2 linked regions of the Caenorhabditis elegans genome follow. The protein of the gene in region 1 interacts with the protein of each later gene in a pairwise test. Each region holds a gene or a part of one and is shown in the gene's direction. Other genes may lie near its edges.

The links. Proteins that work in one complex are often made in the same cells at the same time.
Region 2: the proteins of hlh-33 (region 1) and lir-1 interact in a two-hybrid assay, tested with the Caenorhabditis elegans proteins (one large-scale study listed by BioGRID).

The regions. Positions count from the first base shown.
Region 1 is NC_003281.10:1,852,538-1,860,175, forward strand, and holds hlh-33 (BHLH domain-containing protein), read left to right. Parts: upstream 1-2,854; 5' UTR 2,855-2,855; coding exon 2,856-3,105; intron 3,106-3,513; coding exon 3,514-3,644; intron 3,645-4,889; coding exon 4,890-5,042; intron 5,043-5,714; coding exon 5,715-5,903; intron 5,904-6,032; coding exon 6,033-6,235; intron 6,236-6,594; coding exon 6,595-6,730; intron 6,731-6,870; coding exon 6,871-7,032; 3' UTR 7,033-7,066; downstream 7,067-7,638. Other genes in the region: ddp-1 (Mitochondrial import inner membrane translocase subunit Tim8), read left to right, coding at 7,356-7,529, 7,620-7,638.
Region 2 is NC_003280.10:7,669,180-7,675,469, forward strand, and holds the start of lir-1 (LIn-26 Related), read left to right. Parts: upstream 1-2,825; 5' UTR 2,826-2,863; coding exon 2,864-2,929; intron 2,930-5,684; exon of another isoform or gene 5,685-5,820; intron 5,821-6,290. Other genes in the region: lir-2 (C2H2-type domain-containing protein), read left to right, coding at 1-198, 667-736, 1,300-1,480, 1,532-1,951, 2,531-2,615.

The DNA.
Region 1 (7,638 bases):
AAAAATCAATAATTTTACGACATTTTTCATCGATTTTCCCCCTGCGATTGTAATATTTCCCAATTTTTTACATTGTATTAAAAAATGCCAAAAAAACAATATTTTATTGATTTTTTTTTTCAACGATTTTTCAAAGTTTTTCCCGAAAAAAAAAACGAATGTATTAATAATTGTACAAAAATGTTTCCATTCCCCCCCCCCCCCCTGAGCCATTTTTATCAACGTTTTACCCAATTTTTCCACAATTTTCCACTTTTTCCTGAAAATTATCGATTTTTGTGTCATTTTTGTGATCTCTCGCGATTTCTATACAATACATATCTCGACCCCACGACTTTTTTTGTAATAAATTATTATTAATTCGCAAAAATTTGAATTTCCTTGGGTCTCACCACGATTATGGAGAATTTTAAGTTGCAAATTCGAATTCTCCGTAACTTTTTACCTCTAAATCGTGGTTTTCTGGGTTTCTAGCTAAAATTTTGAGTTCTTTGGGGTACGGTAGCACCAAAAATACGCAAACACCGAATTTCTTACGACAAAATGCACAGTTTCTTTACATTCCGAGTTAAAGCCCTAGAAAATGGGACCCCGAGCTAAAAAATGACGGGAAATTCAAATTTGACAGCAATATTTTCAAAAAAATCACAGAAAAATCAATATTTTTAAGAAATTGATTTTTTCCGGGATTTTTATTGATTTTTGAAGATTTTCATTGTTAAATTCGGATTCTCCGTCACTTTTTACCACTGAATACTTTTTTTCCGGGGTTCTGAGCTAAAATTTAAATTTTTCGGGGTACTGTAGGCCCGAAAATACGCAAGCACCAAATTTCTTACGACAAAATGCACAGTTACTCTAAATTTTAAGGTAAAACTCTAGAAAATAGGTTCCCCGGGTGAAAAATGGCGGGAAATTCAAATTTGACAATGAAATTTTCGAAAAATTACGAGAAAAATCGATATTTCGAAGAAATTCAATTTTTTCGGGGGCCCGATTTTTGGAGCCTGAACATTGAAATTTGGAAAGTTGTGCATTACCCCGAGAAAATCAAATTTTGAGCTAGAAGATCGGGAAAAATGGTTTAAGAGGTAAAAAATGCAGGAAAATTCGAATTTCTTGGAAATTTTACTTGAAATTTGATAATTGTGGGCGAAATAGAACGTTTTGAAGCTTTTTGTGTAGTTTTTTTTCGGTTTTCATTCAAAACTGTAAATTTTCGATCAATAATATGAATTCTACGTCTCTTTTCACTCCGGAAACCCAATTTCCAAAGCTCAGCTACCAAATCCTGAGAAGCTGTGCATTTTGTCGTAGGAGCTGCGGCGGTGTTTGCGTACTTTTGGCGCTACCGTACTCAGAGAAAATCAAAAGTTGAGCTAGAGACTCGGCAAAAAATGTGAATAGTGGGAAATTATGCGAGGATTTCGTTTTTGAAGTTGGTTTTCCAAAAAAAAAATTGATTTTTCGGAAAAAAATTTTCCAAAAAAAAAATTTTTTTTTTACAAAATATTGTTTTCCCCGCCGGGGTAACCAGAAATGAAAGCCGTAGAGGGAGAAAAATGAAGAAAGTGACCTTGAAAGTCCCTTTCTGCCATACAAAAAACGCTCCCCTAACCAGCTGCCCCCACACACACAACTTATTCCGAGGCACACGAGAGAGTACACACAATCAAAGAGACGCAGAAATGCGGCAATTTCGAGTGTTGGGGGCGATGAAGACGGCGGAGACCATTCATTTTTGCCATCTGATCACTTTTCCGATTTTTTCTAAATTTTTTTTTTTGACAAAAGTTTTATACAACTCGGTAAATAATTTTTGTACGTAGGCTTACTTTGAGGTCTTATAACTTTGGACTCAAATGAACTGTCAAATTTTAAAGTAAATTGCCTGAAAGATAAAGTTTTAACGCAAATTTTGGTAAAATTTCACCAAAATTCATTTGGTAGTTTTTGAGAAATTTAGGTTTTAATTGAGAAAATAAAAATGTTGAAAATTTTTTTTTTTAATTTTTAAATTTTTTTTTTTTGCATTTTCCAAAAGTTTAAATCAAAAATTTGATATTTTCTGAAAGAAAAATAAAAATATATTTAACGCTAATTCTGACAAAATGTCAAGCAATTTGCACAATTATTCTTTGAGATACTACAGTTTTACCGAAGAAATTTCATTTTTCAGTAAATTTTTCAAAAATTTAAAATTTAAATGGGTTTTCTGAAACTTTAGGGCAATAACACATTTTTTACAATAAAATTTTTTTAAAAAAACAATGAAAAGTACATATTTGTCAAGTTAGAAAATTTGAATTTTCACCAAAATTTTTTTTTAAACTTTTTTGAAATTTTTTTTTAATCCTTGAAAAAAATTTAAAAAGTTCAAAAAAATGTCTTTTCATCAGAAAATTTAATTTTTATTACAATTTGGTTATGTATATACTTTTATTAATATAAATTTATTGATATCCTCAACAGATATATGCTTTCAAAGGTTGAACTGGACATGGTGCATCGATCAAAAACTTGGACAGCTTATATCTCAGTTGTCATTGTTTTTATCAAAAAATCGATAACTAATAAAATGTTCATTATGAACTTCTCTATAACTTTGTAGTTGAGCACTTTTCCATATCTCCAAAATTAACAGAGATACTAGCCGTCAAAGTTAGAGTTAGACATGTTGCATCGACCTTTCCTAACTTTGACAGCCCATAACTCGGTTAATATTGAGCCAAAGGTTGTAAACTGACAAAATGTTCATCATGTTTTTCTCTATAACTTTGTTGTTTAACATTTCTCCCTACCTTTAATATTAACCGAGATATAAGCTTTTAAAATTTAATAGTACATTTTTCAGAATGTCCGACTCCCCGCAGAGCTGCAAAAAGCCGCGAACTCGGAAAGAAACTATTCAAAAGCGAGAAACACGAAGTAAGCATGAAAAACGACGAAGGGAAGAGATGAATGAAGTGATTTGTGAAATGTCGACACTTTTGCCCGAAGATATTCGGGCTCATAAGCTGCGAAGAGTGGATCAGAAGCCTCGTCAGCTGGACAAATGCTTTATCATTGGGAGTACTGTTGATATTATTCGGAATAGTGATTATAGTGAGTCTACAGATTCAAATTAGTAATAATATTCTAATTTGGAATTTTTTTTTAATTTTGAAAAAATTTGGAAAAAAATTTGAAAAAAAATTTCGAAAATTTTTTCTTTTTTTTTTGCAAATTTTTTTCCTAAATTTTCGATTTTCAAAGCTTTTTTCTTTGTTTTTTACTCTAAAACTCGGTAAAACAACTCTATTTCCTCCCGAGAAAAATATAAATTCAACCTATTACAGTAACCCTGATCCGTTTCGTGGCGGGACCCAAAATTTCAAATTACCTTCAAACCAAGGCATGTTGGGTGTCATTTTAAAGCAATCATTGAGCTAAACTCAAATTTGAAAGCCATTAAGCTGAAAATCTCGAAATTTTCGGAATTTTCAGTCAATTTCAATTTCCTCCATTTTCCAGAACCACCGCTGCTCTCCGACCCGCTCGTCCAGGATATTTTCAGCCTGACCAACTGTTTTATGGTTTTTCTGAACAATTTTATTGTCGTGGATATTAAGGGAGACCATCAGGCAGTTTTTGATATTGAAAAAGTTTGTTTTATTGATTTTTTTTCGATTTAAAAAAAAATTCAAAAAGCCATTAAATGGGCAGAGTTACAGGCCTCTGAAAATAATTGTTAGGCTTAGGTGTAGGCTTAGGCGTAGGCTTAGGCTTAGGCTTCAAACATTTTTTTGGGATTAGGCTTAGGCTCAGGCTTAGGCTTAGGCTTAGGCTTAAGCGTAGGCTTAGGCTTAGGTTTAGGATTAGGCCTAGGCTTAGGCTTGGGCTTAGGCATAGGCTTATTAGAAAAAATGGGAAAAAAAATTCTCAAAACATTTTTTTTGGAATTTAATTTTGTAAAATTTTCCAAATTTTGTCCCAGACGGGCGTGACAATCAAATGCACACTTTTTTAGTTGACAACTTTTTGCTAACCCTTAAATGGTAGCAACCTTTAAGCTTCAGTAACTCCGCCCATTTATTGGCTATCAAAAAATTTTCAACCGACAAAAGCTTCACCATGAAAAAAAATCTGCAAATTTTTTCAGTTGACAATTTTTTTCTAGCTTTTCTAGATTTGAAGATATTTGAGTTTATTTTTTTGAAAAAAAAAAATCCCAAAATTTTTTTTGTGGGATTTCATCTTTTTATAATTTTTAATTTTCCAAATTTTTTCCCATACAGGCGTCCCCAATTAAATGTTCCTTGTAAACAAAATGTCGTCATATTTTCGGGGAAATATTATCAAGGTCACTTTTTCCCAAAAAAAATTCGATTTTTTCGGACTGTGTGTCAGCTGACTTGTTTCAAGGTGAACTGGTGGTGGACCGGGGGTGGGGGGGGGGGGATTTGGTGAATCATTGGGATTTTTTCGGTTGGAAAATGTTTTATAACATTTTAGATAGTATAAAAATTTAGAAAGTTTTCGAAAAAAGTTTCAAAAAAAATTTTTTTTTTTGGACTTTTTCTGAAAAATTTTTTTTTTTTTGTTAAACTAAATTTTTTTAAAGTTAGAAATTCTAGAAATAAGTTGTAAACTAACAATTTTTGTCAAAATTTTTGCAAAAGATTTGAATTTTTCGCTAGTTGATAACTTTTTAGTAACCATTAAATGGGCGTAGCTGCTGCCTTCCGTAACTCCGCCCATTTCATGGTTATCAAAAAGTTTTCAACTAACAAAATGTTCATTTTGAAATTCTACACACTTTTTTAGTTAACAACTTTTTAATAGCTGTTTTAGTTTTTGAGATATTTAAAAAAGAAAAAAAAATTTTTTAATGAAATTTTTTTTTTCAGAAACGTATGATTGGAAAAGATATCCGATGTTTTCTGGACTACGATTCAACGTCCAAACTGTCATTTCTCACTTCCAAAGAAATGCTCAATGAGCTCCAACTCAAAAGCTTCATGGCGAAGTCAATGACGTGCAGAATAAAGGAATCGGCGGAGGTTTGGGATTAAAATGTTTTTTTCAATTCGAACAATTCGAAAAATTTAGCTTTAAAACTAATTTATTTGAATTTGGCGTGTAAATAGCTTTTGAATGACACCCATCATGCCTAGGTTCCCGCAATTTTGGGGGAATTTTCCGGGTCCCGCCACGAAAACTGGCAGGGTTACTGTAGTTTTGAATGAAACTAACTTTTTCAATTTTTTTCAAAAAAGTGTGATCACTGAGCTAACTTTGAAGAAAAAAATTAAGAAAAAATAGTGAAAACTAAGAAAGTTACAGATTTTCGAAAATTTGTGAAAAAAAATTTTTTTAAACAAAATTTTTTACCAAAAAAAACTTATTTTGTCAATTTTTTTTTAGCTGAGAATCACAATTTTACTCTCAGCAACCCAGAAAACCTGCAAAACCTGGTAAAACCAGTAAAAACAACCAAACTACAGTAACCCAGAAAGTTTTCGCGGCGGGACCCGAAATTTTAATCATTCACGGAATATAGGCATGATGGGCCTTATTTTGAAGCTCTGGACGTGCTTAATTTGAAAATGTACGAGTTTTGGCTCAAAATCGTGATTTTAACCAAAAAAATTAGTTGTTAAAAAATTGAAAAAATTTTTTTTTCCAAAATTTCAAAAATTCCTAGAAATTTTTAAAAATCAAAATTTTTCCAGAAACCCACGGAAACAGTTTTAGTCTGTGTGCCTGATGAGCTTCCAGCTCTCCCGGTTACTGTACCCAAGGCTCCGCCCATTTTAGCTTCGCCCCTTCAGAAGACACCGCCCCCGCCGTCGAGTTTGGAGGTGAAAAGCCCGATTTTGGCGGCACTTTTGAGGCGAAAAGAGGATAATTGTGTGAAAGTGGTAAGTTATTAATAAGAATTAATAGTTTGGCGGGAAATTTCAAACTTTTTGAGAAAAAAAAAATTGAAATTTTTTTTTTCGGAACTTTTTTTTCTAAAAAATTATTTAACACTATTTGTTGAATTCCAGAGCTCCCCAAGCTCCTTCCTCTCGCCGGGCTCCTCCACCTCGTCTACAGTACCCAATGTGAAACCTACAGTAACCCGCCGACCTACAGTACCCACAAAACGGAAGAGACTACGATCGATGAATGTTATAGTGGAAAGTTATCCGTTGGATGATGAGAAGTCGGATGGAAATTCACAAAAATCGGCGAAAATTGGGAAAAAGAGGTTTTTTCTAACAAAAAAAAACGTTAAAACCTACAGTAATCTACTCCAAAATCCATGCGAGACCCTTAAAACTGAAAATTTCAAATTTAGCTCAACAAGACCTTTCAAATGACCCCCATCATGCCCGGGTTCAAATTTTCACAAATTTATTCAAAAGTTGGGTCCCGTCACGTGGGGTACTGTAGCACTGGTTTCAGCTGTGTCAGTGACATAATTTCGGAGTTTTTCCGAAGCTCTAAGCGTGCGAAAGTTAAAAATGTTAATAAAATTCTTAACATGTAAGATTTTATTGATTTTTTCAAAAAAAAAAAATTTTCTAATTTTTCTGAAAAAACTTGCAAAACTATGTAAATTTTCAGCCAAACTAGCACTATTCCAACTCCGAGAAGCACTTTGAGCCCAACTACAGTAATCCATCCGTCCACGTCACTAATTCAACCGATTCCGACACTTGGAATGAACCCATTTGACATGTTATCACCTGGTTATCAAGATGTATGTGAAAATTATCGATTTTTAATGGTAAAATCAATAAATCATCGCTAAAAACTAGTTTTTATCAATAGAGCGCACTTGCAACACGGTTTTAATTCAAATTATCGACTTTTCAACTACAGCTACTATCAATTTTCCAGATTTGGCTCCGACTACAAAGTGAGCGACTTCTGCTGGAAAAACGAATTTCAGCGAAAGAAGGGGAGCTGAAAAACCTGATGCAATTCGTTCAAAACCCCCCGTTTTTGAATTTCCCCCAATATATGCTCCCGCAAGGGCCACTTGGTGCTCAAAATCAATAGTTATGGGTTTAAATGAATAAAATAAATATTTATTTACAAAATTTGATTATTATCGACGGGAATTTGTTTAAAATACTGCAAAATATACTGGGAAATTTCCGGAAAAATCATTTCGAAGTTAATTATCATTTGAAAAACCGCCGAAAACTGTGAATGCGCAAGGAGAGGTTGCTGGCGCATTTCTCTTGTTGCTTGCGCACTCTGCGATGAAATTAATTTATTTTATTTTTTCATCATTTTCGTTGGGTTTTCATCATTTTTCAGCGATTTTTTTGCAATTTTTTTCAAAATTCCCATCAAATCTATAGTTTTTCTCACAGGAAATGGACTCGGCCGACCCTCAACTCAATCGATTCCTCCAGCAACTGCAGGCGGAGACGCAGCGTCAAAAATTCACCGAACAAGTGCACACGCTCACCGGTCGCTGCTGGGATGTGTGCTTCGCCGACTACCGTCCGCCAAGCAAGATGGACGGCAAGACTCAGACCTGTATTCAGGTAAAAATTTGGGAAAATTTGGCAATTTTCTGCAATTTTATGGGAAAATTGAAGAAAAAATTTAAAAAATCCAATTTTTTTCCGTTTCAGAACTGCGTAAACCGCATGA
Region 2 (6,290 bases), on another chromosome or scaffold:
CCTGTGAGATTGGCGAGAGCACCATCAGCAATTCGGAATCCGAATGTTAGCAATTATGATAGGAAACGTCGTGCAGCAAGTCCATATGAAAAGAGCAATCGTTTATCGGTGCTACCCAGTCCTCAAAACCAATATCTCTCACATTTGATCGTTGATGTTTCATCTCCTCAAGAACTTAAAAGACTATTATCGGTTTTGGTAAGTACTTTTTATAAAAATTATTATTTTTGGTTCCAATTTTGGAATTGGATCGAAATAAGATTGTCATGCTCTTCATTTCTCTAAAAGTTATTTCTAAATGTTTTCTGTTTTTTCATTCATTTTCGTCTTCATTCAGTGACATCTTCTTTGAAGAATAAAAATTTAGTTGGTAGCACCCTTCAATTCACGCTCACAATCGCCGAAACATTGCGTGAAATTAGAGTTTCCGACTGTGAGCGCAGGCAGAGAAATAGTGAGCGAAGAGACATTGGAGAAGTAACAGGGTGAAGAGCGGTGCGCGAGCGTGTGCGCGTTGCGTGTGTGTGTTGAGTGTAGCTTTTTGTGAGCTTTTCGCTTGAAATTATTTGATTCTAACTATTATAAGCTAAATCAGGTAGCAAATGAAGGCAGAATAAGTTTCATGTTAGTTCAAAACGAAATTTTAAAAAAATTTATAATTTTCAGATTGATCATGGATTCTCTCGATTTCAGCACATCGGAAGTTCGGATATGGTGGCATCGTCTATCAGAACTGGTCAGTGTAAAAAACTTCCCAAATTGTCTTTAAAAAGCGAATTCGTCACAATCAAAAAAGTTTCCGTTTTTTTTTGTTGATTCTCAGTATTTTTCAGATAAAACTGAAAATAAAACATCGCAAAATCGAGAAAAATGAAAGAAATGTCCGAAAAAAAGTCGAGAAAACTATTGTTTTATCCAAAATATGTTGATTTCGATGAGAAAAATAAGAAACTTCTTTTAAAAAATAAAAAAAATCGGAAATTATGAACAATTCTTTATTTTTTAAAAGAAAAATTTAGGTTTTTTTAACAACGAAAATTGAAAAATCGATAAATCAATATATTCTTTTTCGGATTTTTTTCGAATTTCGGAAAATCGATTAAAAAACGAAACAAAAACGAGAAAATTAGATTCACTAAAAAAAGAAGAAATTTCGTTTAAAAAATTTAAAAAATGACCGAAAAACGGAAATTGAGAGATGAAACTAACAATTTTCCTATTTCTCATCAGAAAATTATCACATTAATTTAATTGCAGCTGTTATTTAAATTAAATAAAACATTTTAACCGTTTTTTCAGGTATACCTCGAGCGCCTAGACTCGATACGGTAGAATATTCCAACTATGAACATGAACCTGAAACAGATGAGATTTCTCGAGATGGAACACCATTTTGGTCAACACCAATTCCACCAACTAACAAAGAATTGCCGGTTTCCCCTGTATCACAATTGGACATGACGAATTCAATCAAGAGCAGGTAGAATTAATAAATTAGAATTTTCATTTCATAATTTTTTTTCAATTTCAGAGTGGAACGTGTTGATGTAGAAGTTAAACTGGAACCTTGCAATGACGAAGATGATGAATTTAGTGAAGAAGTTGATGAACAAACTGCTGAATTGGAAGAACAACTAGCAACTGAAGCTATACGGACTGGTTTGGCACTTTTTGGAAAAGTTTCCCCATCTCCAAAACGAATGAAATCATGTGGAAGTTCTGGAAGTGTTTGTGGAGATGTAGTCACAGCGATTTGTGAGATTTGTGGAATTGGAATTCGCCTGAATTCTGGTGGTTCTAAATGGAATTTCTTTGAACACGTAATGATGAAACACTCCACTCATAAACCATTCAAATGTTCCCAATGTCCATATCAAGCTGTACGAAAAGTTCGTGTAAAGCAGCACGGACAATCACAACACAATTCGGAACACGAACCTGTGAATATGATGTGAGTTTTTATTTTGAATTTAAAAAATTTTAAAAAAATTATTTTTTAAAGATTTTAAAAATTGTGCGACAGCTCTTTTTTAGTTGAATCACTAATTCACTGAGATTATTTTTTTTTATCTAATCTCACTCGAAAAGCATGAAAGCCGGTTTCTGTTTTAATTGTATAATTATTTTAAAATGTACGCAATTTGTTTTATAAATTACGAAAATTGCTACTAATGTTGCAGCTGCACCGCAAGATTTTTTTTTTCCATTCTATTTAAAATGGTAATTTTATCCAAATGTGAGGATAAGCCAAAAATTTATTTTTGGCATAAACCCGCAAAAATAGATTTGAAATTTTGAATAAAATGTAAATTTTAGAAATTTTTTTTTCTAGATCATATTTTAGACTAAAAATGTTTCAAAAGAGCATATTTAATTTTTTTTTTAAATTCAATTCTGTCGCAAGATCGCTCCATTAAAAAAAATTAAAAATGTTTGAATAAAATCCAATTCAGACGATGTCCATTTGAAAACTGAATTTAATTCGTTTCATTCCAAAATAAAAAAATCTTACAAAGTCAATTTTTTTCAGAACACCAGAAGTACGAAAAGAATGGCTGGATACAATGGCAAAGTGTTTCCCGAATCATCAATATGGAAAAGAAGCAAAAATTTAATAGTTTCTTTAAATTTTTTTCGTTGATATTTATAATATTTTCTTTTAATTTTAAGTTTTACAACGCAAATTTTGTTCTTACTCGATTTTCAATAAAATCGTCGGTCTTTTTATTATTTGTGGTAATTTCTTTTTTCTTATTTAAATAGTTATTTCTATTTCTGAATATCTTTATCGTGCTCTTGTAATTCCTAATAATATAAATAATATACATAGGTGTCGTCTTCGTACGATTCGAACCCGGCCGGGATGCCGAAATTTGTGGTCATCGAACTGAACGATGATGCAGCAACGATCGATCTTCTCAGTTATTGCGTGAGTTTTTTTATTTATAAAAATTATCTAAAATATTGATTTACTCATTTTCTCTGGTTTGAAACTTTGCATAGAACTTCCAATTGTACCTCTGATTCCTTTTTCGGTCCATATTAACCATTGGTATCCCCTAATTATTCGAATCGACTTCCTAAACAAGGGTGCCGCTGAAAAAATTGTCGGTTTTTTTTGTTGAGAAAATCCAAAAAAATTCACTTTTGAAAAAAAAACGAAAAATTCCGTTTTTTTTTTAAAGAAAAAATCGAAAAAAAATTTGAAAACACTTTTCTTATACGGAATTCAAAATTTAAGTTGATTAAAGTTTTTTTTCAAACAAGTAACCGAGATTTTATTATTTTTTTTGGACTTTACAATTTTTTAAGTGTAATTGAAAATCAATAAAAACTTTTTTTCTGAAAATCGAAAACAAATTTTTTCCGTTTTTTCGCTCTTCCAAAATCCGAAAAAAAGTGCGGTCTGATGCTAACCAAGGATTTCTTTTAAAAAATGTCAATTTTTCTGTTTGAGAAATAATCGAAAATCTAACTTTTTTTTGAGCAATTTTTGTTAAATTTTGATAAATTTCGAAAAATAAATTTTTTAGTTTTTTTGTCTAAAAATGCCAATTTTTTTGAGAGATAATCGAAAAACGAACTTTTTTGGTTTTCCGAAAAAAAAATCAAAATTTAATTTTGTTGAATATAAAACACAAAAGAAAATATAATTTCCTTCTAAAAAAAGCCCAGGCGCTGAAATTTCGAGCAATTTTTGAGAAATTTCGAAAAATCAAAAAACCAAAATTTGTTGAATTTCCAACAAAAAAAACCGAAAAAGCGACACCCTTGATCCTAAAATGTAGGGATTCAACATAACCTATAACTTCTATTCTCTTAGAAATCAGATTTTTGAAGTATAGACTAGCTTGAACATCACTGCAAACATTTTTTTTATATTTCTCCTAAAACCTCTACTCTATCAATGATCTCTCAATTCCAAGCTCTTTCTTTCGCACGATGCTCATTTCGAATTCGACATATATAGCTCCTTTTTTCGGTGCTTCTCCTGTACATAAGAGATCGATGAAATCAATCGTCGTGGCGCTCTCATAAATGTGCAGAAAGGAAGCAAGAGCTGCAGCCAACTGCTGCATCGGCGTCCGTATTTTTTGTTCGCTCTGTTCCCTTTTCCATTTATGCGAGCAACACGGTGATGCTACTTTCATCGACGAGAGATAGTATATGTTGAACGGAGGATTTGAATGTTTCTGTTCACGGAGCAACCGTCCGTTTTCTTTCTCTCAGTATCATCCTCTACCCTTTTTCGAAATATTTCTATATTTGATACTGGAAATTGGTTAATTTTCGCATTTGACAGGTTTGCTCATTTATCGAGATTTTTTAAATCTAAATTCTAAAATCATTAGCGACAATAACTAAAAATATAAATTAATCAATAATTTTCCTGAAACATTAAAATTCCATTTAGTTCTGGTATTTCTGTCCGAACTAATCTTGTAATTGAATAATCTATATTTCATCACAATGTCTTTCTTTTTCTTCTATTCTACGAATACATTTTTGCCTGTACGAGCTCATAATAGAACGCGTTGGCGCCTGCCTCACTTTCAGCATCGTCCGAAGTGTACATACCTCCTGTTCTCCATCATCGTCTTCTCCCATCCCTTTCTCTTTCTCCCATACCGGGTATTGAGCGCCTGTATGCACAATGCACACAACTGACAAAACTGTACTCGTCGCGTCGTTGTCGCCGTTGTCGTGTGCCCCGGCGAGCGCAACCAACAACAAAACTGTGTGAGCGCTGTTAACACCATTTCTTCTATCACCTTCTAAGCATCCCGGTTTGAAAGCGGGTGGTAAGGTGTCCGATATTATAAAACCGCAGCACAATGCTTAGAATGTGTGTGTGTGTGTGTGTGTGTGTGTGTGTGTGTGTGTGTGTGTGGTGTATGCAAATATTGCCGGTGGAGCCGAAGCCATAAAAATCGAGCACATCGTCAGTCTGACGGTATCATTGTGCATCTTTTTTGATACGACTTTTCACTTTTCCGTCACTACACTTAACCTTAAGTCTGCAGACTTCTCTTTTTTCTATAGTATAGACTCTTTATCCCCTTATTACAATAATCGTCTTTACGAGTCCTCATTGCTTCCACTCATTGACTATCCGTACTTATAAAATGAAACTCCTTCTTATTTCTTAATTCTTTGTTCACTTCTACAAGACGCTCTTGACTCCAATTCATTCTCACGCGATTTCGCCCAGTGAGTGTCCGAAATAAGGTCAAATTGTGCATTATGTGAAGTGAGAGTGAAAGGGTCTTCTAAAGTTTTGACCTGGGATACGTCATTCTGAGATTTTATGGTAGGAAGTATTGCTCAAAATCTAGAAGAATTTTTGAATGGTTTTCAAAAAATTATCGACTAATTAAGCAGTTAAAGTACTCGAGTAGAATTTTTTTCGTTGTTTTGAGTTTTTTTTGAAAAGTTAAAAAATGTGCTATCGTTTTCTTTTTAACTCAAAGTAACGTATTACTAAATGTTCCGAAGATCCTGTTAGAGTATCCGTGTCGTCTTTTCTCTCTGAGTTTATGGTATTATGGGAACATTCGCGCACAGTGCGCATTAGTCGTCTCCGTGATCTTTCTCACTCCTCCGTAGCGCATATTATTCCAATCCATGACTTTCTCCTTCTTCATGTCCAAGGAGCGAATGCATATCTCCGTAAAGTCACCCGTCGAGGCCGCAAAGACGTACACCCGCACTTTCGGCTCGCGATGACCTAAATTCTGTGAACGGTTGGACGACGGAAGAAGTTGATGAAATGGTGCGACCTCCTCTCCGCTCTATAAATCGACCCCGATTGGAGCCAATTCAGATGAAATCGTTTTGTGCGCACACACGCTTGTCTAAATCGGATTCGTTCTACCAACGTGATTCACTCGTCGTTCAACCATTATTGCACACAATAGAATCGACAAATCGACATAGGCGCTGTAGGCGACGACGACGACGAAAACGAAGTGATGAGCGCATGCGAGACGAGGGCACCACTCAAACTGGTTTTCGAATCGCTGAGTTACAACCACAGAGGCGGTCGGGCATCACATAGCGAGGCCATCACACATTTTCATTGTGTCAGAGCCACCAATGTCAGAGGAATCGTTAAACACCGTGCATCAAACAAAAAATCAGTGGAAAGGAACGATTGGAGAGTACTGAAGAGAAGAATGGGTTGCTGTAGGAGTGAGCATACGATCAAAAATTCAAAATGTGTAGAATAGGTGTTTTGGAACTTTTTTAAATTCCAAGTGAGCTGTTTGAAGATTTAGCATTGTTTTGGA